Linked DNA regions of Canis lupus familiaris. The protein of the gene in region 2 purifies or fractionates together with the protein of the main gene of each other region. This does not show direct contact. Links are inferred from orthologs where the notes say so. Each region holds a gene or a part of one and is shown on either strand. Other genes may lie near its edges. The genes, in order: VAMP8 and STX4.

What was found.
Region 1: the proteins of STX4 (region 2) and VAMP8 purify together in Homo sapiens (affinity purification with western blotting; 3 studies listed by BioGRID and IntAct, with this or other methods). This does not show direct contact. The link is inferred for Canis lupus familiaris from reciprocal best matches to the Homo sapiens genes STX4 and VAMP8.

Annotation. Positions count from the first base shown.
Region 1 is NC_049238.1:39,843,543-39,856,094, reverse strand, and holds VAMP8 (vesicle-associated membrane protein 8), read left to right. Parts: upstream 1-6,548; 5' UTR 6,549-6,679; intron 6,680-7,187; 5' UTR 7,188-7,430; coding exon 7,431-7,433; intron 7,434-8,754; coding exon 8,755-8,913; intron 8,914-10,208; coding exon 10,209-10,352; 3' UTR 10,353-10,652; downstream 10,653-12,552. UniProt on the Homo sapiens protein: SNAREs, soluble N-ethylmaleimide-sensitive factor-attachment protein receptors, are essential proteins for fusion of cellular membranes.
Region 2 is NC_049227.1:17,342,458-17,358,321, forward strand, and holds STX4 (syntaxin-4), read right to left. Parts: upstream 9,429-15,864; 5' UTR 9,080-9,428; coding exon 9,050-9,079; intron 8,862-9,049; coding exon 8,760-8,861; intron 8,649-8,759; coding exon 8,549-8,648; intron 8,413-8,548; coding exon 8,338-8,412; intron 8,042-8,337; coding exon 7,971-8,041; intron 6,263-7,970; coding exon 6,154-6,262; intron 6,082-6,153; coding exon 6,005-6,081; intron 5,769-6,004; coding exon 5,631-5,768; intron 4,711-5,630; coding exon 4,600-4,710; intron 4,508-4,599; coding exon 4,427-4,507; 3' UTR 4,409-4,426; intron 4,314-4,408; 3' UTR 4,054-4,313; downstream 1-4,053. UniProt on the Homo sapiens protein: Plasma membrane t-SNARE that mediates docking of transport vesicles. Necessary for the translocation of SLC2A4 from intracellular vesicles to the plasma membrane.

The DNA.
Region 1 (12,552 bases), on a different chromosome or scaffold from region 2:
CTGATCAAAACTCTTCAGAGTGTAGGGATAGAGGGAACATTCCTCAACATCTTAAAAGCCATCTACGAAAAGCCCACAGCAAATATCATTCTCAATGGGGAAGCACTGGGAGCCTTTCCCCTAAGATCAGGAACAAGACAGGGATGTTCACTCTCACCACTGCTATTCAACATAGTACTGGAAGTCCTAGCCTCAGCAATCAGACAACAAAAAGACATTAAAGGCATTCAAATTGGCAAAGAAGAAGTCAAACTCTCCCTTTTCGCCAATGACATGATACTCTACATAGAAAACCCAAAAGTCTCCACCCCAAGATTGCTAGAACTCATACAGCAATTCGGTTGCAATCCAAAGCATCATCGATAACAAATGCTGGTGAAGATGTGGAGCAACAGGAACTTTACTTCATTGTTGGTAGGAATACAAAATGGTACAACCACTTTGGAAAAAAGTTTGGCAGTTTCTTATAAAAGTAAACATGCTTTTACCATATGATCCAGCAATTGTGCTCCTTGGTATTTACCCAAATGATTTGAAAAATTATGCCCACACAAAAGCTGTATACAAATGCATAGCAGCATTATTCATAATTGCCCAAGCTCAGAAGCAACCAAGATGTCCTTCAATAGGTGAATGGATAAACAAACCAGCAAATTCATACAGTGGAATATTCAGTGGTAAAATGAAATGAGCTATCAAAACACAAAAGGATGAGGTGGACCCTTAAATTCAAATCCCTAAGTGAAAGAAACCAATCTGGAAAGGTTACATACTGTACGTATAATCCAAACTGATATACTGGAAATGGCAAAACTGGTTTTAATGCAAAAGATCAGTGGTTGCCAGGAAATGGGGCATACATTGCCAAAACCCATGGAATGTGAACCCTAACATAAACTATGGATTCTCTTGATAATCATCTATCAATATTAGCTCATCAATTGTAAAGCAAATATACCACACTAGTGCAAGATGTTACTAATGAGAGAAAAATGGGAGAGTGCTAAGGGGTGTGTGGGAACTGTCTATGCTACTCAAAAAAAAAAAACTCTGTTAATTTAAAAACATTACTTCAGCTCACAGCTTACTGACACAAGTGCTTTTTCTAGGAACAACTGTGAAGACAGCCATCATACTTGGGTATGCAAAGTGTTGTGTATTTCGCATTTCTTCACACAAAATAGTTAAGGATGTGTGCTCCAGTGTCAAAAATTAATAAAATAAATAATTCGTACTGCTTCATTAGAGACATTGAAAATGGCGTTTTTTGAAAATGCAACTGTTTAAGGGGGAATAAATGCATTGAATACTACTACAATTTGGTGCCACTGGCTCTTTCCTGCTAAGTTGCCAACCGTTTCATTAACTCCCAATTGCTTTTGTATCATCAGCACAAATGGCAACATAGTTAAAAGGACAAATAACGTATTAGTATTAATATAGAAGTAGTTTTGTCTTTGAAGAGTCCAGGGGTTCTTGGACCATGTGTTGAGAACCACTATCCTAAAGGAAAGGAATATCTGGAGTATATGTAAAAGTAGAGATTACTAGGGACAGATGCATTTGGCAGGTAGAATCATGGGGCTAACAGTGTTCCTGCTGGGGAGGGTCTGGCCCACTTCCAGGTCATCCTAACAGACAAGTCACCTTGGAAGCCATAGATCTATTTAGGGGATGAATCTCTTGTGCTGTAAAACCCCAGTTCAAATGAATTCAGTGTGGGTCAGAAAGTCTGGGCTAGCTCTTCTAAGACCATTCAAAATTAGATGGTTCCATCAAACTCAGCATTTATATTCTGTTATGTGCCAAGAACTGGACTAGTTACAGAGAAAGAAACAGATTATTAAGCTGTGGCCTTTGTCCTATAGGAGTTAAAGGATAAGGAAATAAAAGAAATAATAGAATAATGACAATAGAATGTACAAAATCCTAAGTATTACATGAGGTTCAAAGTGCTGCGGGAGTACTGCGGAGGAAATGAATCACGACTAGAGAACTCGGGAAAGTTTTCTGAAAACTTGGAGCTGGGCTTTGAAGGATGAGTATCATTTTAAGAGGAGAGAAGGAATTCAAAAGTTCTTAGTATGTTCTTGGGTGACCAGAGAGCATTCTGGGTAAGAGAAGTACAGCTGTGATAACTCAGTACCTCTCTACCCCATGACTTGTTTTTTGTTGGGGGGTATCCAGTTTATCCTTTCAGGATCAGTGTACAGACTCATGCCATTTAGTATTCATTTATTCATAAAATGATCCAAAATTTAGGAAAGAGATTTCTTCATGTTTCTCCTCCTCCTCCTCCTTCTTCTTCTTCTTTTTCTTCTTCTCCTTCTTCTTCTTCTTCTTCTTCTTCTTCTTCTTCTTCTTCTTCTTCTTCTTCTTCTTCTTCTTCTTCTTCTTCTTCTTCTTTCCTCCTTCTTTTTAAAAATTATTTATTTATTTATTTGAGAGAAAGAGAGTGCATGTGGGGGGCAGGGGGTGAGGGCCAGAGGGGGAGGGAGAAGCAGATTCCCCACTGAGTGTGGAGCCTGATGTGGGGCTCTATACCAGGACCCTGAGATTATGACCTGAGCCAAAGACAGACACAACTCAACCAATCAAACCACTCAGGTGCCCCATGCCCCCATGCATGGGTCTTTTCTAATAAAAATTGTATTTTTACCTGCACTGCAAAAAAAGAAGCTCTCTGTCAGATCTTTTGGTTCAATACCTGAAACATTTACTGAGTGACTACTCTTGCATGATGTATGTTATTTTCAACAAGGGGTACCAAAATAAAGACATAGCCTCCGACTTCACAAAAGTTAGAGTCTCGGAGGTGTCAAATGCGTATGCCGCAAATGGCAAAGTATATTATGGATTCTATAAAAGATAAAATGTGGGATCCCTGGGTGGCTCAGCAATTTGGCACCTCCCTTCAGCCCAGCGTGTGGTCCTGGAGTCCCGGGATCGAGTCCCGCATTGGGCTCTCTGCATAGAGCCTGCTTCTCCTTCTGCCTCTGTCTCTCCCTCTCTGTGTGTGTCTCTCATGAATAAATAAATAAAATCTTTAAAAAAAAGATAAAATGTGTTTAGGGATAAGCTAGCGTGGGAAACTGGTAGAATGGGAGTACCACCCTGCAGGAGGAACATGGAGAAAACATAAAGGGTTTGGTTTGGCTTTTGGAGGTGCCTGTGGAGAGGGCACTGGAGAGGCAGCGATGGCAATTGAGAACAAGGTCAGGGCTGGAGATACAGATTTGGGGATCACCCATAAATGGCTGCTGAAACCATAAAGCGTTGCACTTCCCTAGGGAGATCAGGGTTTCAACCTCAGCATTATTAACATTTGGTCTGTATAATACTTTGTTGTGAGAGGGCTGTCTTTTGCACGTAGGAAACTTAGCATCCTCGGCTTCTACCTACTGGATTCCAGGAGCACACCCCCCCCCTGCCAAGTTGTGGCAACCGAAAACGTCTCTGTTGTCAAATGTCCCTTGGAGGGCAAAATCAGCCTCATAGAAGACTGTTGCTCTGGGAGAGTGCAGAGTCTAAAGTGAAGATGGTCACAGGTAGAAGCTTCTGGTTCTAAAAGCACAGTCAGAAAGAGAATGAGACATCGGGAATGATTGGGGGTGGGGGGGTGGAGTGTGACTGTCCCAGATGGGATAACCAGCAGTATAACAGTTAACAAAGGGGTTTGGAGGCAAAAGAGGCCTTGGCAGTGGTGAGAGCTTTCTGATCCTTCAGGGAGCAATTCCAGGTGTGCCTCCTGAATGCTCCTTTTCCTTGTTTTCCAGCCTTTCCCCAGAGAGCTATAGAAGCAAACTCCCCATTTATGCCATAAATAAGAAGACTAGCATCGAGGTCAATGCACTCTCAAAGTTTGCCTGGTTGCTTTGCAGGCTGTTAATATTCCTCTTCCACTATTGTCTAATCTTATTTTCTCTATCAGTCTCCTTTTTCACTTGTAAAGTGCTTTAGCAGGAATATAGAAATATATATCTGTATTATTTAACCCTAATAATAACCCTGCAAAGCAGCTTTCATTCTTCTTCCCATTTTGCAGATGAGAATACTGGTGCTCCTAGAGGGAAGTGGCCTGCCCAAGTCTATATAGCCAGGGAATAGTGGAGCTGATACCCAAATCTTCTGATCACACAGGCACTGAGAACACTCTTCATCACATCATGATTGCTTCTTTAGTACAACTCTTACCATCTAGCATTTTTCTTTGCAAAGTGACTGCTACTCCATTTCTCCTGGGATAGAGCCTTCCTTGACTGCAAAGGAATCGATGACTTATTTCTCTTCTCGTACCCTGCCCATAGTACCATTTCTTTCTTTCTTTCTTTCTTTCTTTCTTTCTTTCTTTCTTTCTTTCTTTCTTTCTTTCTTTCTTTCTTTCTTTCTTTTCTTTCTTTCAGATTGATTGATTGATTGGTTTATGATAGACATAGAGAGAGAGAGAGAGGCAGAGACACAGGAGGGAGAAGCAAGAAGCAGGCTCCATACTGGGAGCCTGACGCAGGACTCGATCCCGGGACTCCAGGATCGCGCTCTGGGCCAAAGGCAGATGCTAAACCACTGAGCCACTCAGGGATCCCCTCTTTCTTTTTTTTAAAGTAAGTTCTAGGCCAAACATGGCTTTAATTCACCACACCAAGATCAAGAGTTACATGCTCTTCTAACTGAGCCAGCCATGCACCCCCCATAGTACCATTTCTGCTCACAGTTCATTGTTTGGTACTTTACTGAATGTCTCATCTTCTGAGGGCATTAGCAAGGTGGTCTTTTGACAAAGGATAGAATTGTGATGTTCCTACAGGAGAGGCCAAGACTGCAGGGGCTCTGCATGGTGAAGAGGAGGGGGAGCACGTTGCAGTCCCAACTGTGGGTGCTGGAAAATCTCCCCAGTGGTTTCTGGGCCTAGGCCAAGGGTCAGCTCCCCCAGGGACACCAATGTATGTCCAAAGCTGCCAGCAGCATGCTAGAGCCTGGTCACTCCTCAAATCTTGTAACCCTGATTTCTTTCTTTCTTTTTTTTCTTTTCAAGATGTTATTTATTTATCCATGAGAAATACAGAGAGAGAGGCAGAAAAATAGGCAGAGGGAGAAGCAGACTTCCTGCAGGGAGCCCAATGTGGAACTTGATTCCAGAGCCCAGGATCACACCCTCAGCTGAGGGCAGACGCTCAACCGCTGAGCCACCCAGGCATTCCTGTAACCCTAATTTCTATTCTGGAAATCCTCCTCCATGTCTTTATGCTCTCCTCAGACATCCTACTTTGTTTCTTGGCACCTATCCTATGTCCCTACCCACCACTGCACTTAGCATCTGGAATCATTAATAATAGTAATCATAATAGCCACCATTTACTGAGGGTTGTTTCAGTGCCAGGCATAGATGGTGAGGTAACTGAGGTTTATAGATGTCACATCAGTCTGTCCAAGGTCACATGAATATTAATGCATAGATCAGTGTGTCTTATAATGGAAATATAATTTGAGCCACATTTGTAATTTTTAATTTTCTACTCATCAAATTAAAAGAAACAGGTGAAATGAGCATTAACAATTTTTAAAATTTAACTCAATAAATCCACAACATCATTTCAACATGTTATCAGTATCAGTTAAGTGTCTGCCTTCAGCTCAGGGCATGATCCTGGGGTCCTGGGATTGAGCCTGGATTGTGCTCCCGGCTTCTCCCTTTCCCTCTGCCCTTTCCCCTGCCTCATGCTCTTTCTCTCAAGTAAGTAAATTAAAAAAAAAAAAGTCTTTGAAATACTTGGGGTGCCTGGATGGCTCAGTGGGTTGAGCATCCCACTCTTGATTTCAGCTCAGATCACTGATCTCAGGGTTTTGAGACTGAGCCCAGTGCAGGGTTCCATACTCAGAGAGCAGTCTACTTGAGATTCTCTCTCCTTCTGCCTCTGCCCTTCCCCTCCTGATGTATGTGTGCCTGTGCTCTCTCTCTCAAATGAATAAATAGATAAATCTTTTAAAAAAAGAAATACTGTGTGTACTCTTACATCACTTCTCAATTCAGACTAGCCACAGTTTAAGTGCTCAGCAGCCATATATGGTCAGTGGCTATGGTAATGGACAGCATAAGTACAGATCAAGGATTCTGACCCATCTCCACTTGACCTCTTTATAGATTTTCTTTTTTTTTTTTTTTCTTCTTTATAGATTTTCTAAGGATGATGAGAAGTGAGACAGCCACATTCTCTGTGAAAGTAGGCTGGTACTGTCCATCAAATTTCAGATTTGCAAAATATAATAATCTTATTTAATTGGAGATAAGATTTCATTATAAAGTAGAATAAAGTATCTCAAAACAGAGGTCCAGAAATTGTCATTTCCTTTAACAAAATATGTGTTAGAGAAACTGACATTTCTCTCTTAGAACTAATAATACTAAAAAAAAAAAAAAAAAAAAAAGAACTAATAATACTTCTGGGATGGGACAGGAATGTTTGTTCTCTTTTGCCTGTCCCTGTTTTTGTTCTGTCTTGATAAATACCATCTGGGAAGACTAGATATTCTGTGGCCTGGAACCAGGTGGTGGAAAAATCCTTTGCCTGGGGCCCTTCTCTTGTCCATAGGGCAGGCCTCTGACCATTTCTGAGTAGGCTCACCAACCCCTCAAAGCGGCTTCTGAAGGAAATGTTGAACTCTGGAAGGGAAGAAGGGATTGGTAAGCCATCATTCCCTCGTCCCAACAGTGGACAGGTCTTCCTTTCAGAAACTGTGGCAGGCACACTGAGTGTGCTATCCTGTTATACGTCCCCACCATCCTCTGAGGTCAGCATTAGCACCTGCCAAAACCAGAGAGGTGAAGAATTTCACTCAGGGTCACACTAGTAATCCGGAGCTTTCTGACACCACAGCCTAGGATTACAGCACTCCAGACTTGGGGGGATTTTAATACTTTCTGTCCACCCCTGAACATGGGAACAGGGGTTGCTAGCAAGAAACTTTCATATCTGTGTTCTGTTTCCATGTGAACTACCCCTGGTGGTGTACTTAGAGTTGACTTCAGTGTTTAAGATTTGGAGTCAGATATTCAGGACATTAAAAAAAAGGGGGGGGGGCGGAGCCAGCTTCCCTATCTATATCAGGAGGTCCAGCCTCAGGAAACCTAGGAGGGCTGCTTGATCTTCTTTTTCTTTTTCTTTTTTTTTTTTCTGGTTCTGATGCGTTAGAAGATCTCTGGTGATCGAGCCCTGTTGCTTTAAGCCCGAGCCCAGGTTTGGGAGGAGACTGGGAGGGCAGCGGAGGGCGCCCGCCTACCTGCCGGCCCGCGCTAGGTGAGGCTGGAGCCGCTCGGGATGCCGGCGGGCGGGGGCAGGCTCGAAGTTGGAGCGAGCAGGAAGTGAAGCGAGGGCCGCCCGGGAGGAAACAGACGAGGGAGTCTCGCCGCCGCCAGGCCCGAGCCGCTTGGAGACATGGTGAGCGCGCTGGGAGCTCGCGAGGGGCTGAGCGAAAGGCGAGCGGGGGCTGGGGGCGGGGGGCTGGGGGCGGGGGTCGCAGGGCCGCTGGCCAAGTCGGAGGGCTGGCCCGGTGCAGCCGGTGGCCGCTCTCCTTTGACAACTTGGCTGCCCGGGCGGCTGCCCCCGCGCCTTCTCCCTCCCCTGCCCTCGGAGCTGGCCCGGAGCGGGGCTCCGGTGGGGGTGGAGGCTCCGAATTCCAGGCCGGGAGCCGCTGAGAGGCCCTTCCTGGCCTCCTCCGGCCCGCCGGGCGCCGAGCCCGGTGACCCCCCTTGGGCAGCGCCTCCGAAGTTCCCAGGGCGGATTCCAGCCCAGCGGCGGGAGCCCTCCCCGTCGGCCCTTCCCTTTATCCTGTCGAGAAACTCCAAGAATCCGTCTCTCTCTGCCCGGCCTAAGGAATCGGGCCCCTCTCTTTAAACACGGAGAAGAAGGCGAAGGGTTTGTAAAAGAACCAGAAGTTGGTTCTCTGTGACAATCCGTCTAGTTTGGACCGGCTCCTGGCCTGTTTCGGAGGTCTAGGGGGTCAGGGAGGGAGGAGCCTAGTAATGGTTTGCCCTCCCTGTTCAAAAACTTTATCAGCCAGGGAGGACTTGCCCTCCATTTCCCTCAACAGCCAGTCTGCTGTTTTTATTTAATATCTGCTTAAGGAGGCAGTGGCAGCTTGGTTGGTGCCGGCACATGGGGCAGTGTGTTGGGGGAAAGCAGAAGTTTATGGCGCAATGGCTCTCCCTCTTGGGGCCTGGCCAGGGCCTTGGAACCCGGTGGCTGTTGCTCTGGGTCACAGCAATTAGGCAGCTCCGGAGGTCTGGGGAAGTCTGGGGCGGGAGCAGCTCTCCAGCTGCTGTCCAGCAGTGAGGGGGGTGTTGTGGCAGCTGAGGGTGTTCTGCTGGCCAGCACAGATATTTTCAATGAGGATCCTTCGGTTAATAGTGGTGGGTTTCCCCCTTGTGAGATGCCAGCTCAGCAGTTCTCTGCCCCCATCTGAGGAGCAAGGCAACAGTGGAGTGGGATTTAGGGTCTGTGTTTCTTTTCCTCCTCAGGGGCCCTGAGAACCTGAAAAGAAACTGGATCTAGTCTGTCTAGCATCAGCACTCACCTTCTGGGGCTTAAAAGTGCATTTGTTTTTGATCACATGAGTAATACATGAAAACATTCTTTGTAAACAGTTCAAGCATTAAAAAAAAGCTAAAGTCCACCTTAGGCCTTCCCCTCCCCTGGCCTCTGAGGCTGAGTCTCAGTTCCTCCACCACTTCGCCTAATTAACCCCTGCGTTGCTGCCCAGGAGGAGGCCAGTGGAGGTGTTGGAAATGATCGTGTGCGGAACCTGCAGAGTGAGGTGGAGGGAGTCAAGAATATTATGACCCAGAATGTGGAGCGGATCTTGGCCCGAGGAGAAAACCTGGACCATCTCCGCAACAAGACAGAGGATCTGGAAGCCACAGTGAGATGGGGAACCCACAGAGGTTGGGAGCAGGGCGGCTGGGAGCTGGGCAGTAGAGGAAGAGAGGGAGGGTGAATTGCTGGGGCTCGGGGAATTGGTGGTGCTGGGGGCAAAATGAATAGGAGGGAAGTCTGCCTTTTCACTTGTTTTGGGAATTGACAAGTGAGCCCCCTGTTTTGATTCTGCTCTACTCCACTATTTGGTACTGGGGTCCAGGAAATGGCTCCAGTGACTGGGTGGGTGGGTGGGTGGGTGGGGCTGATTCTTGGAGGCCTTGTCTGAGACAGAAAGGTAGATGGCCCAGTCAGCCCTCACATTCTTAGGCTTCCCTCCCATGAAACTGATGTTTCCCTTTGAAGATTGCCCTTGACAATCATTTGGACCTGACCTCCCTAAGCCAAAAATATTGGCTCCGGAAAATACTCCTAGGGCCTTTGGCCTTCTTGAGGAGTCACTAGGCAGGGGGTGGAAAACTGCTAGAGTTTTGCTGAGTCTGCTTTAAAAAGAAGCTGGGAAGAGCAGTGAAATTCTTTGATCAGGGGGTCCTCTGCTAGCTGAAGGCTAGAATAATATCTCCCACACATCTTGCTAGACCTCATTCCTTTCTCTCTCCAGCCATGGGCTGAAGCCAGCTGCTCAGGGATGGAGTAACTCTAACAAAATACTCCAGCAAAGGTTGGGGCCTAAGGTTCTTTGTCCACAGGGAGAGACTGGCTGTGGCTTTCCAAGTCTTGTGCATAAGCTTGGGTCTAGTTTCCCTGGGACTTAGTGTTTCTTTCCGCAGCCTAATCTGAGGAGCATGGCCCAGGGAAAGTTAATTTCTACAATTCCAGTTGAGGAGGAAGAGCAGTTTCTCTTACCTCTGACGTCTGTACTGCCCTGGTCTGTCCTCTAGCCTCAGAGGTCCCCATAGGGCACGGAGTCAGAGTCCCAGGGAGATGTGCCCACTTGGAGCTTGCACCCGTTCGCCCCAGTGTGTGCTCTCCCAAGGGCGGATTGTGCAGACAGTGTTGCACTTCTGGGTGTGAGCATATGTAAAAGGCCCCTCAGTGTACATGACGGTGCATGGGTAAGAAGAGAGGAGGGGAGGCAAGAATTTAGAATTCTAAATTTGAATCTGGCCCATCAGATTGTCATGAAGGTATATTTGTCAGGGTAGGAGGACAGAACATTTTTTGTGTAACGGTCTGTTCCCTCAACTGTTCACTTCAACATTTACATGTATAGCATGTGGGCCTCTGTCTTCTTATTCTGGTGGGAGGAGGCACTGGTTCACTCTGCCTTGTCCTCAACAGTCGGAGCACTTCAAGACCACATCACAGAAGGTGGCTCGGAAGTTCTGGTGGAAGAACGTGAAGATGATTGTCCTCATCTGCGTGATTGTTTTTATCATCATCCTCTTCATCGTGCTTTTCGCCACCCATGCCATCCCCACATAGGGAGCCCCTCCCCCCACCCACCCTCTTCTTTAGGGCAACCCTCCATAGCAGGTGCCAAGAAGGGCCCTCTCTTCCATCCTTGTCTGCAGGAAGTGCTGCTGCGTCCTCCTGCCCCTCATTCTGAGGCCCCTCTGCCACACTGTCTGCCCCAGGCACCTTGGTCCCCCGGAAGGAGAGAGTTGGACTGTGGCTGTTTCATGGGCCCTCAGAGTTGGTTGGAGAGATATCCAGAAGGCCCAGCATGGGGCTAGGACACTGATGGTGGCCGGTGGGCAATAAAGACCTTTCAGTATCCCTTCACATGTGAGGTAATTTGTCCCCTTCCATTTTTGCCTTTGGTCCTTCTATTTCTATTCTCCCTGGGGACAGCTTCTGGCTGAGATTCTCCTATTTGAGGCCCCATTGTTGGAGGGGTAGAAAGTGTATGTTTGGAGAAGAAAGATGGAGTCTCCCCATTCTTCTCTATTTTCCATTCATTGTGACAGGTCTCAAGAACCAGAGTTTTCTGAGGGTTTCCACATATGGAAAATTCAAAACCATTTTAGGGTGGTACACAAGACTCCTAAGGGCTTGAGCCTTGCCATGTGCCTTTATTACTTTTCTACTAGAAGTGTTAGCCAAGACAGGCTGAGGACCTCCTTTCATCTCTTTTCTATGGCCCTGGTGCAGTCTAGAGCAAGGTGCTAGAGGAACTGGGCCACTTTTCCTTCTTTTTGGTTCTGCAAAGTTCTTTTGTTTATTTTTTTAATTTAAGTAATCTCTCTACCCAATATGGGGCTCGAACTCATGACCCTGAATTCAAGAGTCACATGCTCTTCTGACTGAGCCAGCCAGGCACCCCTGGTTCTCAAAGTTCTATTTGTCTTTTGTCTGCCCTTTTGGGACTTAGCAGGGCCTCCGGGTCTCAGCTGAGAGGGTGAGCATCTCTCACCATATCTTGTGGCTGGGCTCAGTCAGTGTCACAGGACAGGGCCTATGGCCCTCCTTCCCCTCCATGTACAATGGGCTTCTTTGTCTTCGGTCTTCCCTTCTCCCTGCCAGGTTCCACCTCATTGTCACTCTTTCCTGTCTTGGTTTGGGGAAAGGGTTCTTGCCATCTCTGTCCCTGTTTCTCCCATGGGCTTTCCGGTATTGAAAACAATCTGTTTTGGGGGTGGGGGGGAGTGTGGAAGGGACAGGGTTGGAAGACAGGATTTGGGACTCCTCCTGGCAAGTCAGGTTCTGGAATCATATTCAGAGAACCAGGGAGGGAAAAAAAAAAAAAAAGCATAGAAAAGCCCTCAGGCCAATCTTTGTCCTCCTGTGTCCTCCTATCTCAGACCATGGTCATCCTCTCTCCTCACGTCTGTCATTCCTGGACTCAAAGTCCACAGAACTGGGGTGAAACCACTTCCTTGGGACCCAGACTGCCCAGGGTAGGAATGTGGGCCGTGCTCAGGCAGGGTCAATGCTAGGACGGAAGCCCTCAACCCCCTTCCCCAAGAGGAGCCACAGTTGAGGTGGTGGGGGAGGCAGGGGGTGGGGGTGGCCACAGCCACGAGGGGAGATGGGCATGGAGGCAGGCTCTGGAGGAGCAGGGTTATATGAGGGCAGGGCTGCAGCTGCCCTTGTGGTGAAGAGGGAAATACCGAAAAGCTAGAACTAGTAACTTCTCCCCGGGGGGTCTGTTTTCTTTATTGAGGTGAAATTCACGCAACCTACATTGTGGACACACAATCGTACCACTCAGTGGTACCATTCTGAAATTCACAATTCAGCGGCAGGTGGTGCATTCACAATGCTGATGGTGAATAAAGTTTCTTTCGTTTTGAAACTTTTCGCGGAGTCTGGTTACCAGCGACTGCACTTCACACGCGCTAGCTGTTCCAGGCGTCGCTAGCCCAGGGCCGGACGGTGGCGGTGGCAGACCTCGGCCCCAGGGCCCGCTCCACGCTGCCCGCTTCAGAGACTGGGTCGCCGACGGGCCCCGACGTGTGGCCGCGGGCCGAGCGAGCCCGGGGCTGCCCAGGCGGGAGGGCCCGGCCCCGGAGGCTGGGGCACCGTGCGAAGCCGGGCGGGAGCCGGCAGCTTTCGCTTTGCCTCGCTAGGTCCGGGCTCCCGGGCAGGCGCCCCCCCGCCCCCGCCCCCGCCCCCGCGGGCCCCGCCCCTCCGCTTCCTCCCGGGGATCTGGCACCGCGGCCGCGCGGCGACACAGGAGCCC
Region 2 (15,864 bases):
GAAGTGGAACAGGGACAGGATAATAGCAGTAAACATCCCCATTTAGAAGGAAGAATGGAAGACACACAGCACTTACTGGTCCATAGTAATGGCAACATCCTCCTGGGCAGACGTTGCAAAGGCCCCCCACCTTTACCCGGGACTAGGAGTGCTTCCTGAGACTGGTTCTCTAGTTCCACAGAGTAGCTCATCCTTTCCCATTTATCCTCCTTGGCCACATTTGAGAAAACACCAGAGGTTATGCCCTTCTGAAGCAAAGCAGCTGTTTCTTTCATGCTCATAGAAATTTAGGAGCCTTCAAAGTCTTGAACACTCATGGTCTTTTAAAAATCCAAGCTGGTGGCTTTTTGTGAAGAGGGAAAGAAGCTTCTTATCTCTTTGATTCCAGTCAGTTCTATGGGCTAACTGCCAAACCACAATTCTTTTCAGATATGCCTCTCTCTTTAGACTTAATTGTAAGCAAATGGAGCCTACCAGCTCCTTTGGGAGAGTTGTACTCCTAATCTCTCTTTTCTGAATCATCCTGACTAAATGAAAGGCTTTAAGGAAAACCACTTTGACCAATTCAGAGGTTTCTACAAAAGGCATGAGAGCCATACACTTGATAAGGCCCATGCTACAAAGATGAGTTTTACTCAAACTTTGTGGTTTAATGGCCTTGTCAATTGTATGGTTAAAAATGTAGATCACCTGCCTGGAGTTTCTATGATATCTTCCATTTCTGCTTAAAAACTGGCCAATGATTTTCGGAGTCATCTCTTTCTTACAGTAGCTTGTCAAATGTACCCCCAAAGCAATCAAGTCATGCTACTAATATTCTTTCTCAAAAAATGTTCCCCCTAGGGACACCTGGGTGTTTCAGTGGTTAAGCATCTGCCTTTGGCTAAGGGCATGATCCTGGGGTCCCAGGATCAAGTCCCTCATTGGGCTCCCTGCATAAAGCCTCCTTCTCCCTCTGCCTTTGTCTCTGCCTCTGTGTGTGTGTGTCTCTCATGAATAAATAAATAAAATCTTTAAAAAAATTTCCCCCTAAAGCCCCAAGCTCATTTGTACATTATTTACAATTCTTACTTATTTCTGGCTTACAGTTTAACCAAATGCTTCACCACTGCCTAACACACAACACCATCTTTCCAATTTCCACTGATGGTTTCCTCATCAGCCGTCATCCAGCTCCAAAGCCAATGCCACTTAATTCAGGTTAATTTTTAGTGTGGCAGCACCCCACTTCTGGGTACTAGTTCTGGGACAGTTGGTTTTAACTTATTCTGATGTGGCAACAACTAGTCTCCAAATATCAGCAGTTCGCAGCAAGTGGGAAAAGAAAAGGCAAGCTACCAGACTACTCACTGATGCTTAAAGCTTCTATCTGGAAGTGATACTTTACATCTCTACTCATATCTCACTGGCCAAAGCAAATCATATAGCCAAGCCTACTGTAAGTGAGGCATGAATGTGTATTATCCTATAGTGAGTGGTCCAGTAGGAAGGACAGTATAAATTTGGAACAACAATACAGTGTATCACAGGGCTGCACGAGAAATGCTCGTCTACTCCTCCTTTATACACACTCTGCTGCAGTGTTTTGTACCATGTAAACACTTTACATACATCATGATCAAAGTTAAAGTCTTGACTTGAATTAGACAATTTATAGGCTGGTCAAAGTAGCCTGACTCAGACAACCATGTTCCTTTTCCTGGTAATTTGAACCACAAAATGTTGAATGAATGAGGCAATAACTGGGGGGAGCTACAGCTGAAAAGTTATGATGCAAGATGGATTCGGAAAAGCCACACCCAACCAAGACCCTGTTCCCTGAAAGTTGGGCTGACAGCAAAGACAGGATTTCAGTGCAAAACCTGCCTATAACTCCTCATTCAGTTCAGTTTTCCCCAGCGAAAGGGTATATACAAGGGAACCTGTGAAAACTCCAATGCATGAGTCCACCTGACCTCTAGGTCTGCCCCAAACTTGCCACTCACCTGTTCAAAAACCTTGCATATGTCCCCTAGCCCACAGGAAAAGTTCAAATTACTGGGCCCGGCATCTGAAGCCTCACTCGGCCATCTAGATACTCCTATCAGGAGGTTCCACACGGCTTCCTGGGTAAGGCGGACAGGTAAGCAGGCTTTCAGGGGTGGCGCCGTCCCGCAAAGCCAGTCTGAAGTCACATAACGCACACTGACACATCTGATAGTCTCTATCAGATCCCAGTAGGTGCCACGGGTGGGGCAGTTTTCCTCTGAAGGCAGAAAGGTGAGGGGTGGACAAAGGCGACCTACAGGACAGGATTCCGCCGAAGATGCAGGCCGCAGGGGGGAGAGCTGGAGATTCAGGGAAGCCCAGAAGCCCCGTACTCAAATCAATGTTTTACGGGGGCAGGATCTGTGCCGCCCAGCAGTTTTCCCCTCGAGCGCACATCCAGATTGTGTTTGCACACTGGGGAGAATGAGGAGCTCTTTCCTGTAGGTATCTAGGGCTTCATCTGTACACAGGATCCCAGGGTACCCACGCCCGTGACGAAGGCGTGGGTACCCTCCCAGCTGCCAAGCTCGGCGGCTAGGGAGGGGGACCCAGCCACGCCTTCTCCGGTGAAGTCCCTGACTCACCTACCCCCGCCAGACTCTCACAAGCCAGTGCCGCCTCCGCCTCCTTTAGAGGTTTGGTCGTGCTTCGCCCTGCGATCCAATCACTTGTGGGTGCGACTGAGGACTCGCCGAGGCTCCTCCCACGTCAGTTCAGGGAGGCTTGCGGCTGAATAGCCACTCCTCACTCCCCCAGGAGGTCCCTGGACGTCCTAGGGACCAATCCCGCTGCTCCTCAGAGGCGGCGTTTACTAGCGCGCCCAATCGTGTTCCACTTGCGGCCAGGCCACGCCCCCTACACGCGGGGCAAAGCGGACCCTCGGACCTGGCGCAGGCGCCTTGCAACTGCCAGGCGAGGGTCGCTCTAAGCCCACTGGGAGGCGCTGCAGGAGGACGCCCAGATGGGTGGAGGCAAAGCAGGCAGGGGTCTCTGGAGCCTAATCCCGTCCTCTGGCTCCTGCCCTCCCCCCCGCAGGTCCAGGGGCTGGGTCCGAGACTGCACCCAGGGCATCGCGTCCACCCCTTCTATGATTCGCGTCACCCAGCACCCACATGTGTGGTACTTTGGCCCGACGGCCCAGGCAAGGGCAGCTTGGAGTAGCAGCGACGACAGCAGCAGCAGGGGCCTGTGGGATCGAAAGCGGGATGGGCTGTGGCAGCTGGAACCCGGCCTCCAGGACTTGATTGGGGTCAGGCGCTGCTCCACTCCAACCAAGCTTCGGAGCCAGGAGCTAGCTTACCCCTTGAAACCAGGTGTCTGGCGACAGGTGCCACACCCAGCTCTGGAAGCTAGGCTTCTGGACTCGGAACTCTTAGAAATTTAGAGTTGGGGCCCAGAGCTCTTAGAAACCAAGGGTCAGGCTCCTCTGTCACCTCTACTGCTTCAGCCACCTAACTCCCTAGAAGCCAGGTGTGTTGATCCGGAGTCCCCAGTGCTTTAAGCTAAACTCTTATGTCAAAGGCTATGCCTTTTTCTGGGCTCTGCCCTGCAGCCTCTCCCCCTGCTTCTTCTCATAACTGGCTCCTCCTCATTTAACAGCCCACTGAAATGTCACCCTTTCTGAGACAGGACTTTCCCTGTTCACTGTATCTGGAGTAACAGCCTCCATTACTCAACGGTGCCTCGTGGCCTCAGGAAGGCCGATGGATGCCCACACACACCTCACCTATGTCCCAGCCTACCAGGCCCAGCTTCACTGCTTTGGGGTTAGGTACTCACAGTAATCCTTCCCCAAGGACAATACTGAGCCAGATGTGGGTGTTAGCCCCTCCCTGCCCACCTGTTCCTAAGGGAGAGTAGAAGGGCAGTGCTAGCCTGCTGTGGTCACAGCACCTGAACAGTCTGATCTGAGTCTTCCTCGGATGGGCCTGGCCCCAAAGATGGCCACGGAAAGAGGAGGCCGCCTACGTAGAGGCCCTGGGCCAGCTCTTCTAGGAACATACATGCACGGGGCAGTCTCCAAGCTCATTTTTCTGTTTGTCTTTTTTTACTTTCTTACAAAACCATGTGTCCCAGCCAAACAGGACGCTGCAGGCCTTCCCCCAGGCATTGTGGCCTGAGTGGAGAAGCCCCCATGAATGAGTGGCTGCCAACCCCAGAAGAACTGTCTGCCCCTCTGCACAGGGCCAGTGTGAGGAAGGGGGTCCAGTTGGAGGCTCTGTCCTGCCCTCCCCCCTCAGCTGCTGGGAGAGAAGGCGGACCCGGGTCCCCGGTGTTCTTAGAGCCTGTAAGGGAAGGAGGGAGAAGAGGGTCTGAGGGGAGGAGGAAAGGCAGGGGCCCAGGACGAGGCAGGCCAGGGGGCAGGCCCACAATAGCTCACCAAGAATGTGCAATGCTCTCAAACCAATGTGGCGATACCAATGATGACTGCCAGAATGACGACAGTGACAGACACACAAATGGCGATCAAGACTTTCTTCTGTGGGAGAGTTCAGGGAAACAAACTCAGAAGGGGAGGGAAGGCAACCAGGGCCTCAGACTAGAGGGGAGGGAAGGGGTGTCAAGGCTCACCTTCCGAGCCTTCTTCTGGTTCTCCAGGGCAATCTTGACATGTTCCTGCCCGCGTTCCACATAGTCTGCTGAGCTCAGGATGTTCTTCTCAATCCGGTTGATCATCTCCCCCTGCTCAGAGGAGGGGGACAGTTCAGGCAGGTAGGGATGACTGGGGGTGGAGAGCCCATCAGCTCCTCTGCTTGCTCACACTAGCTGCCTAAAGGACATTTTCTGGCAGGAAATGCAGCACTAACAAAGGTGTGGGGGTAGGACCACATCTGACCAAAGTGCACACTCCTGAGGGTGGCTTCCAGGATCCCTTTTATTATGTAGTCCCTTCTGCCCTGCTCCCTTACCCCCTACAACCTTCATTTGCAGTGGTGGCTTGGAGCCAAGCGCCTTAAGAAGCTCATACCTTGTCACAGAGGGTGAACTTCTGTCTCTTTGTAAATCTGTCTGAATTTGCTCATTCTTCTAGGCTTGCCTCTCAACAGCTGTGAAGCCCTCCCCAACCCTGCCTCCTCATGGCACTGCCAGCCTTCAGGTCCTGGTACTCCTACTGAATGAAATGCCTTCCCCATGAATCCCAGCTGCACAAGGGCATTGGCTGCAGCACTAGAGGCCGGCAGCTTACCTCACCTCACACAACGGGGGCAGCAGAAGAACACCACCTCCCACCCCAACCTCATTCAGATCTGTGGAGGCATGCCCCCTAAGGAGCATCTTTGAGTAGAACTCTTAGAGGTATAAGGGTGGATTCTATTGGTGGAGGAGGAGCCAGAGTTGGGCTACATCCTGGGTAGCTCAACTGGGAGACAGGGTAAGATGGTGAGTGTAGAGGAGTGGCCATCTGTGTAATGTGGAGGTGGAAGCAATTCTGGGGCTCAGCTACAGATGGGAGTGAGGGCCAGCCTGGGGGCATGGCCCAGCCTGGAGGGGGATGAAAGCCTCGGGGAGAGAGGCTAGAGAGTGGAGATGGACTGACAGACACAGTGGGGTTTCTGACTGAACACGGTCTCACATCAAGCCCAGCCAGCTGTCTTGCCCACCTGCATCTCCACTTCTGTAGCCAGGAAAGTGAAAATCTCATGAAGTTCACGGATGCTGCGTTCAAGCTGCTGTATCTCACTGTGCCGGGCTGAGATCTCATTTAGGGCCTGTCGAGTCACCTGCGTGTCCTTCAGGATCTGGGGAGCAGATAGGAATGGCCAGACAGGTCACAGGGAATCCAGCAGCAGATCAGAAGTTCCTGTTGAGCTTTCAGGCAGCCCTCAGGCTTAGAACTGGGGCCAGGACCTTGATGAGCGACCCTAGGCATGCTAAGTCATTCCCTTCCAGGCCTCTGTATTCCCTCAATCAAAGGGGACCAGGCCTCAGCGAAGATGAGAGTCCCAGAAGAGGGAGGCTAGCCATGACCACTCACATTGGATACAAACACCTCGCTTTGCCCACTGTCCAGCATCTGCTCCAGCTCCTCATCAGACACCATTCCAGCATTTGCTGTGAAGGAAAAGGTCAGGCTCAGAGCTGGGTCAGGTTACCTGACCCTGTAGGCCAGACACCACAACTCACTGATCTTCAGCTGCCTCCGAATCCGCTCCACATTCTTCTCCCGGTACTCGGACTGCATCAAGTTGCACTTGTTGATGAGCTCCACGAATTGCTGGGACAGGACCCCATGCTGATGATAGAAAATATAGGCTGGGCACCCCGGAAGGATTTGGCCTTAACATCCCCATAAGTATAGGGAGCAAACAGCATAAGCTGTTCTAGGAGCCTGCTGCCTTGACCACCATTCTCTCAAGGTCAAAGCCAAAGCCTTTACTAGGGCTTATAAGGCCCTATTGGACCTTCCCTTCCCCATTTCCCCTCTGACTTTATGTCCTCCAGCTGTTGCCTCACTCGCACCCTCTGACCACAGTGGACTCCTTCCTCCCCCCACCAAAGCCACCCCTACTTCAGGCTTTGGCATTCACTGCTCTTTGGGCCTAGAATACTCATGCCTCACAGAGACATACATACATACATTTATTTATTTATTTATTTATTTATTTATTTATTCACAGAGGCCTTTAAATCTTTATTCCAATGTCACCTTCTGAATGAAGTTTTCTCTACCTTATTAAAACTGCAACCTGCCTTCTCCCGTCACTCTCAATCCTCTTCTCCTCAGTTTTTCCCTTAATACTTAACTACCGTCTGGGCAGCCCGGGTGGCTCAGTGGTTTGGCGCCGCCTTTGGCCCAGGGTGTGATCCTGGGGACCTGGGATCGAGTCCCATGTTGGGCTCCCTGCATGGAGCCTGCTTCTCCCTCTGCCTGTGTTTCTGCCTTTCTCTCTCTGTCTCTTATGAATAAATAAATTAAAAAAAACCCTACGTTCTAAAATAGTGGGCATATTTATTATGGTGTGTGTCTCGCCCCACCAGAACATAAGTTCCATGAAGATTGGGCTCTTTGGTTCACTGCTGCATCCTAAACAGCTAGAAAAGGGCCTAGCACACAGTAGGCACTCAATAAATACCTTTGAATGCTTGCTGAACACCAGCCTTGCAGCTTAGACTAAAGGTATGCCTGGAGGTCAGCCCATTGCCCAGCTCTTACAGGTCCGGCTGGACCCTCAGCCTCTCACACCAATGACTACCACAGTTTCCCCCTGAAACATCCTCTTATCTTGTCCATTCTCTTGCTTCCTTCAATGTGCTCATTCCTTGGAGTTCCTTCCTTAGAGACATATTTGCTCTCCTGCCTTCACCACATCATTGTAAGATACCCAAACTGCCCTATCTTCAATCCAGGGTACTTTCTGGGCCCACCTACACCAACTCTGACCTCCAGGAACTCCAAATTACTCCTCCCTGGGCACCCAGACAAGGGCAGTTAGATCGCCTCAAATCTCCTCACTAAGATGTTGATTCAGTGACCTTCTCCCTCCAGGGAAGTTCCTCTTCTTGATTTCTTGAATTCTGCCCATGGGGCAGAGGATGACCCTGTCATATGGGCAGGAAAGCTCCCTGTCATTTATGACCTTTCCCTCTTCTTCCCTGGGCGGGGTTATTAGCTACCACACCCTACCTGAGTAATGTCTTTGTCATCTAGTCAAGCTTGACTCACCATGTTGGTTTCTAGAAAGCATGCCTTCCACAACCAAGCCCAGATCACATCTGGGGATTCAGCAACTTCTCATGAATGGAGAAGGCGACAGGATGTTAGGTGGATTGGGAGTCAGGAGACTTTGGGTGAGATTTTTTTTCTCTCAGCCTCAGTTTCCCCACTTGAAAATCATTAGGTTGGACTTGATGATCTCTAAGGGCCCTTTCCCCTTACTTTTGCCACCTAATGGTCTATGAAACCCTGCAAAATGTCTTAGTTCTGGGAATAATAAACCCACCTGGGTTTTTCTCATCCTCGTGTTGACTGAGTTATAATTCTCATCAGCTTCTTCATTCTGGGGCTCTATGGCTGTGGGAAGACACAAGGGGATTGGTGGGGAAGGAGATTTGATCTGTGTGGCTTCAGAAAATCATGTGGGAACCAGGACACAGGGCCAGGGCCATACCCCATCCATACAATAGAGAGGTGCTTATCTCCACAGAATTATTTTGGGAATTATATTTTATCATAAATGACTAATTATGAGCCTCTGACGGTAGCTCAAGTGTATTTTTCTTTGCAATACTGAGCCACACAGTCCCCAGATATACCAGGAGCTGGGCAGGACCACAGGGAAGGGTCTGTCTGAGGTCCTAGGGGCTCACCCTTCAGCTGTGCTCGGATCTCCCTCCCCAGCTGTTTGATCTCCTCACGCAGGTTCTGCAGGTCCTGCTTCATACCTGAAGAAGAGAAAGCCATGACTCCCAGACAGCGGCTCCTACCTCAAACCAACCTGCCTGGCCACCACCTGCACGGAACTACAATCCCCACAATCCCTCTGGCTGAGCATGCGTTTGCACTTGGGGTTTCACTCACTCTCCTCGGGAAGGGGCGTGGCCAGGATGGTGACCTGCTGCTTCTCCAACTCCCGGACTTTATTCTCCAGCTTGACAATAGTCTGTCGAATTGTCCGGACCTGGGGAAGGTGACCGAGAGGGCTGAGGGAGATGGGGGATACTCCGGACCGCGCTGCTCCTCGGATCATCCAGCCCCCTCATGAAGACAGGCGGAGACCCCAGCCTCTTACCTTTTGGAAGAACTCCTCGTCCGGGCTCCCCAGCCGTGCCGTGCCCGGGTGTACCACCAGCGCGACCCGCTCCTTGTCCTCATCGTCCGAACTGTCATCCCCCTGCCACGGCCGGGGTGGTCACTGGCATCACTTCCCTGCGGTTGCTCTCTCCCCGCAGGACTCACAGACTTCCGGGTCTTTCCTTCCTAGCCCTCAGCCACCCCTCCCTGTCCCGAAGACCGGGAGTCCTGTATGCCAGCCAGACCCCAGCCCGTCCGCCCACCCCCAGCCCTGCAGCCCCCTCTCACCTGTCTCAGTTCGTGGGTCCGGTCGCGCATGGCGGCCCGAGCTCCCTCTTCCCGGCGCCGGAGCCCCGAGGGCCTCGAGACTAAGTTTGGAACTCCCGTACCCCACTCACACTCTGACACTGACACTTCCCTCCGCCCTCACCCTGCGGACCCCCGGGCCCCCCCACGAGCCACCAGAGGCTCCGTCCCGGGCACCATCCACAGTCAGTGGGAAGCAGCCGACCCCGGGGACCCCCCAAGATTCCACAGGTTGGAATTCCCTTTTCTTCCCCCCCTCCCGTCCCCGTAGCCTCGGCCCCGCCCCTCTGGGATGATCGGGGCATGCGCACGGGGTCGCGTCTCTTCCTCGCCGGAGGGAGCCTGAGGTCGGAAGCTGCGGCGCCCCGAACGGAAGCAAAGCTGCCAGGACGTGAGAACCCGCCCCCTTCGCCGGAACTGTCGCATCTACCAACGGAAATCTAGTTGCCAGACCGGGTGGGAGTGCGTCATTGATACGTAATCTCAGAGGCCCTGCATCTCACATCACCCCATGGTGCCCCCCCCACGTCACATGACCAGCCCGGTCCCACCCTCGCGGACCTCGGAACGTGACACTTTGATTGTCACGTGCCCCGGCGCTGTCAACTCCGTCTCTGGAGCACCTTTCTCCCCACGACGTCTCCGGGACCCTGGCGCCCAAGCTACGCCCCTCCAGCCTTCGCGAGGCGGGGCGGGGGCTGCTGACTACCCCCAGAGACCGTTTGAGGCAGTGGGTGGTAGGACCCTCGCTGAATTCGGCTTCATTTTCTTTTGGGTCCAGGGACGTGGGCAGACGGAGAACTTAGAATTCGGGGCTGTCAGCATCATGGGACCTTGAGATTCAGAAAATAATAAGATCCAGCGTCAGAGAATTGCAGGGTTTTGTAGGCAGAGAATCTGGGGGTGGAAAGTGACCTCACCCAAGGCAGAAATCTCTCCTCCCGCATCCTCCTGGCGCAGCCTCTGACAGGTGGGCGGCTGGCGCCCTGCATGAACACTGCAGTTCCGCCGCACTCACCACCTTCCGAGCATAAGACCATTTCAGGGCAACTAAAGCTGAGAAAAGTGTCTGTATTACATTGAGGAGTCTGCCACTTAACATCTAACTCCCTCCCTCCCTAGCATCTGGGTCTACCCTCTGAAGCCCGCAAAAAAATCTGCACACATTCCCCATTATAGTGGACCGTGGGCTCTTGAGGTCAGGGCGCCGCAGTCTTGTTCTTACCTGAATCCCCAGGGCCTATTTCAGTACCTATCACATATGGGCCCTCAATAAATATCTGTGGACAGAACTTTAACCTTTCATGTATCTGAAGATAAAGCTTGTCTTTTGGGCTTCAGCCTCTCACGGTGACACTGCCCTAGCCCACTAGATGGTCATTCATTCAATGGATATCCATTTATTGGGCACTTATTATGGCCAGAGACTGTTGTAGGGGTCGGAGATAAATCAAGGCCTAACTGACAAAAACCTTTCACTTGTGAAACTTACATTATGTGAGAGCAGTCTCCAAGGCCACAAAGTGAGTCTCAGCATAGCCAGAATAAAAATCAGGTCTCCTGGATCCCAGGACTCTTTCCAGAGAACTTACATGAAGGTTCAAGCAAAAGAAAGACTGGCCCCTCTCTAGTATGTCCTGGTAAGGAAATCTGTATTGTGATCAACTCTGTGATTGAGTTGCTATGGATTTCTGGAAAGTCATGTCTTTGTCTCTGGGCCTCAGTATCCCATCTGTAGGATAGATGGCATAGCAAGATGGAGAGATCATCTTTAGATCATCTTTCCCTGCTCTAAAGTCCATTGATTATGAGGTTGGAAAGTATAAACTGCTGTCTGATTCTATTAGAAGGGCTTTGATCCTTCCCTTCCCTTCTGTCCCCTTCAGAACCCAGCTCGCCTGGGGTAGGGAACAAAGGAGTGAAAATGGTGTGCTGCTCTGATCAACCTACAGGAGAAATGAAGGGTTGGAGGGTTTTTCCAGAGGCCAAGCCCTGCTCCTTGGGGTCTCCTGGAGATCATGAAAGGTTTCCCCACTCTTGGGTCTTCAATGTCAGCCTCCCTGCCTCCCTGCCTCCCTTTCCTTCTTTCTGTCTGTCTGTGTCTCATACTCTGTCTCAAGGGGCGGGGGGGAGGGCAGTGGAAGGGCTTTAGGAACTTGGACTCCCAGTCCTGAATAACTTAATGATCTTGATCTTGAATAACTCGTTGCTCTTCTCTGGGAATTAGTTTCTCCATTTGACAACTTGGTCTGGTGATTTCTAAGGTAAGAATTGAACAGTATCAGGAGGCCTGGTGGCTCAGAGGTTGAGTTGCCTGCCTTCGGCTTAGGTCATGATCCCGGGATCAGGGATTGGGTCCGCATTGGGCTCCCTGCGGGGAGCCTGCTTCTTCCTCTGAGGGTGTCTCTGCCTCTCTATCTCTCTCAGTCTGTGTCTCTCATGAATAAATAAATAAGTCTTTTTTTTAAAAAAAAGAATTGAACAGTATCAAGTGAGGTGAGAAAGACTCTGGAAAGCTCCTATGAACTACCAAGGGTTGCCCACTCTCGGGGCTGTTATGATCATGGACTCCAGCTATCTCTAGGACCACCAGGCCCACTTGCCTCTCTGTTAGTCTCTTGATGGTTTGCTTCTTGGTTCCCAGCTTTGATCTAGAGTTGTTGGTGCCTTTGTTAAATTTCCCAGGACTATAATATTCATTATTGTATTTGTGGTCTCTGGGTGGGATCACAGGGCTTTGGAATGGTGGCTTAAGGTCACAGGAGGCTGAGCTTAAAGCCTCATGGAGTGGTATGTAGAGACAGTGGGGAGCACCGTCTCCTGTGCTCCTGGGGAGCACAGGCCATGCAGGGAAAATAGCTCTGGGGATGGAGCTTCCAGAGCTGAGCCCTTATCTCTATTTCATGGTTTTGGGCGTTATTCCTCTTGGCCCCTCTGAACAACCTTGATGAATGTATTAAGCATACTGGGTCTGGGAGGGGTAGATACTAGGGACGTGTGTGTTTTCCTTCCAGCGTGCAGGAAGGTCAGGCCCTACCCAGTCCTGAGGCATGGCGGTCTGTCCTGTCTTCTCCACTGCAGGTCCATCCTACCAACATCCTACCTATACTGGAGCCAGAAGCCCCGGGCTGGAATCCCAGCTCCTTCACCTCATCACACAATTCTCCAAGGCAAGTTACATAACCTTGCTATGCCTCAGTTCCCTCATTTGAGAAATGGGAACCATAACAGTACCAACCTCATAGGATTGCCAGAAAAATTAAATGAGATGATACGTGTAAAGTGAATAGAACAGAGTGTGGTACAGAATAAATGCTATGTATGTGTTTGCTGCTGTTATATGCTGGTGATGATGGTGATTGTTGCCTGAGGGTGTCAGCAGTGCCAGTGTCTCCGCAGGGATTCCACTCTGTGGGTTGTTCAGATTCTTCTTCCGCTTTCCATCTGTGCCTGACTGTGCATCAGATACCAGGCTAGAGGCCTTGCCATGGTCTGCACGTCTCTCCTGTTTCGCCCTGGATCTGACACACCATATATTTTAAAGTATTATTTATATTTATTTTATATGTTGTCTGTCTTTACCCCTTCCTGTCCACCTACCAGAATATAAGCTCCGTGAAGACAGGGATTTCACCTGCATTATTCACTGCTGTGTCCCCAGTACGTCCAACACTGCCTGGCAAATGGTAGCTGGTAAATAAATATGAATGAATTAATGAATGAAATTACTAATTTAATTTTTATATAGCATTTACTATGTGCCCAGCACCAACATAAGCACCTTGGAAATACTAACTCATTTAATTTTCATAGCAGTTCTATGGGATAGGTACTGTTACTGTCCATATTTTACAGAGGAGGAAACTGACCCACAGAGGTATTAAGTCATTTGCCCAAGGCTTCACATTAGTGCAGGACAGAGTTGGGATTTGAACCCAGAGAGTGGAGCTCTGGGTTCTGTGAGGTTCTCTTGAGCTCTTATCCACTCCACTATGATCCAAGGAAAACGTGGGTTCCCTGTGTCCACCTACCTTTGGTAACTTGCTGCCACCTATTGATGCCCTGCTCATCATCTGTGGGGAGGAGGGGGAAGACTTTGCCTGCAAGACTGAGCCTTCTCCCCTCCTCTGTCACAGGGTCTCTCTCCCACACCTGCTGGGTGGGGCTGACCGCTGGGGAGGCTGTTTGTCCTCTCCCATCTCCCTGTTTGCTCTGTCCCCAGAAGCCAAGGATATTTATGCATGTTTCATATAAAGGGCATCCGTTTATCCTACAAGTCTCTGAGGCTGTTTTGTGCCAAGCCCCCACAGCTCTCTCTTCGTGATTATGTTCATGGCCTGACCTTGACCACTCCCTAGAGTTCTACCTGAGAACTTCTAATCAAACGCTACATACACTCTTGTGACTTTAACTGGCATGCATATGCTAGCTCCCAAATTCGTGTCTCCAGGCCTAAGTTTTCTCCTGAGCTCCAGACTTCTGATTCCACTTGCCTACCGGACATCTCCTCCTGGAGGTCCCATAGGCACCTTAAATTCAACCTGTTTCAAACAGGATGCATCGTCTCCCCCCTGAGACTCTCCTAAACAAGCTTCTGTTTCTCCTGTTGCCTCTCCCTGTGGGTTACTCCCGATCACGTGTGCCATAACCTTGGCCTTGAACTTCATTTTAAAAGTGATGGATCACACAATTTGTCATGATAAGCTCCCCTAAAAATACTAGAAGAAAATATGGGAAAAATCCTTTCTAACACTTGGAGTGAGGAAGCCTTTCCAACTCCATCTCAAAATTCAAAAGCTATAAAAGATTAATACAGTTGTCTACCTGGAAAAAATCTGCATGGCAAAAAAACATTAAAGCAAAATCAAAAGACAAACAACAAATGTAAGAAAAATATTTGCAATTCTTATCATATACAAAGGGTAATCTTTCTACTATTTAAAGAGCTTCCTCATATTGATAAGAAAGACCAACAATTTAATAAAAACTGGGCAAAGAACATGACAGATCACAAAAGAGAAAATATATAAGGTCTTTTTTTTTTTTTTTTTTTTTTTTTTTAGATTTTATTTTTTAATTCTTATTTATTTATGATAGTCACAGAGAGAGAGAGAGAGAGAGAGGCAGAGACATAGGCAGAGGGAGAAGCAGGCTCCATGCACCGGGAGCCTGATGTGGGATTCGATCCCGGGTCCCCAGGATCGCGCCCTAGGCCAAAGGCAGGCGCCAAACCGCTGCGCCACCCAGGGATCCTTTTTTTTTTTTTTTTTTTTTTTTTTTAGATTTTAAAGGTCTTAAACACATATGCAGATGTTCACTTTCACACATAATGAGAGAAATGAAAAGACAATACTGAAATACCATTTTTTCCTTTATTGCATTAGCAATTTTAACCCATTTGTCTGACAAAACACTCTTTTGGCAATACCATGGGAAACTTGTTGGTAGGAATGCAAAATGATACAAATCAGACAATATTTATCAAAATTATAAACTTATGTACACTTTGAATCAGCTTTCTCACTTGTGAAAATCTATCTGAAAATCTATCTGGATCACTTAGCTATTGCTTCCCAGGAAACCACCTTAACACTTACTGGCATAAAATAACAATGATTTATTGTTTCTCCAGATTCTAAGAATGGTCAGATGGTTTTCCTGCTGATCTTACCTTAGATTACTCAAGTGGTAGCAGTCAGCTGGCACCTCAGCTGGGGCTGGATGGCCCGTGATGGCTGTCACTCACTAGTATGAGACCTTAACTCTGATGGCTCAATCAAGGGATGGCTAAGCCACTCTCTCCATGTGGTATTTCATCCTGAGTTTGTTTAATTGTTTGTTTATAGGTAAGCTCTATCCCCCATGTGGGGCTTGAACTCACAACCCTGAGATCAAGGGTTGTATGCTCTACTGACTGAGCCAGTCAGGTCTCCCAGCCTGAGTTTCTTCTTAGCACAGTGTCCTCATGGTTCCAAAAAGGTGAGAGGAGAAGCTGCAAAGTCTCTTGAGACCCTGCTCAGAAGCTGTGTGACATTGCTTCTGCCATATTCAATGAGTCCAAGCAAGTCACAAGTCCATGCCAGCTGCAAAGGGGGGGGAGGGGAGAAACAGAATTTTAATTCACTGTATATTCCTATATTTCCCTATATATCTTTCCTATATTTCACTATAAGAAATGACGTATACATCGGTGTTATTCTTTGGATATTGTTTGCAAATTTGTCCATCAGCAGGTAGGCAGCTGTCAAAAAGGATGAGGATATTCATCACAAATAATGTGAGAGTGCTTTAAAATATCATTAGTCAAATACCAAGATGTGGAATGAGTTATCATGCTACTGTGGTATAAGAAAAAAGTGTTGGGATGCCTGGATGGCTTACTGGTTTGGCGCCTGCCTTCGGCCCAGGGCGTGATCCTGGAGACCCGGGATTGAGTCCCGGGTCGGGCTCCCTGCATGAAGCCTGCTTCTCTGTCTCTGCCTCTCTCTCTGTGTGTCTCTCATGAATAAATAAATAAAATATTTTTTAAAAAAAGAAAAAAATGTGTCAGTGTGTGCATGCATGCACACACGTGTATATGTTTGCTTGTATCGTTAAATCCTGGAAAGTTACAGAAGAAACTAATAAAAGTGGTTCCCTACAGATGTTTCCTGAGAACAAGCTGGCAAGAACAGCTGTCAAAAGTAAGAATGTTCACTGTAAATCTTTTATATTATTTAGATTTTTGAATCACGTGCAAGTATTACCTATTTTAAATAATCGTATCAAAGAAAGAAGGTACCTTTGAATAATTTCAA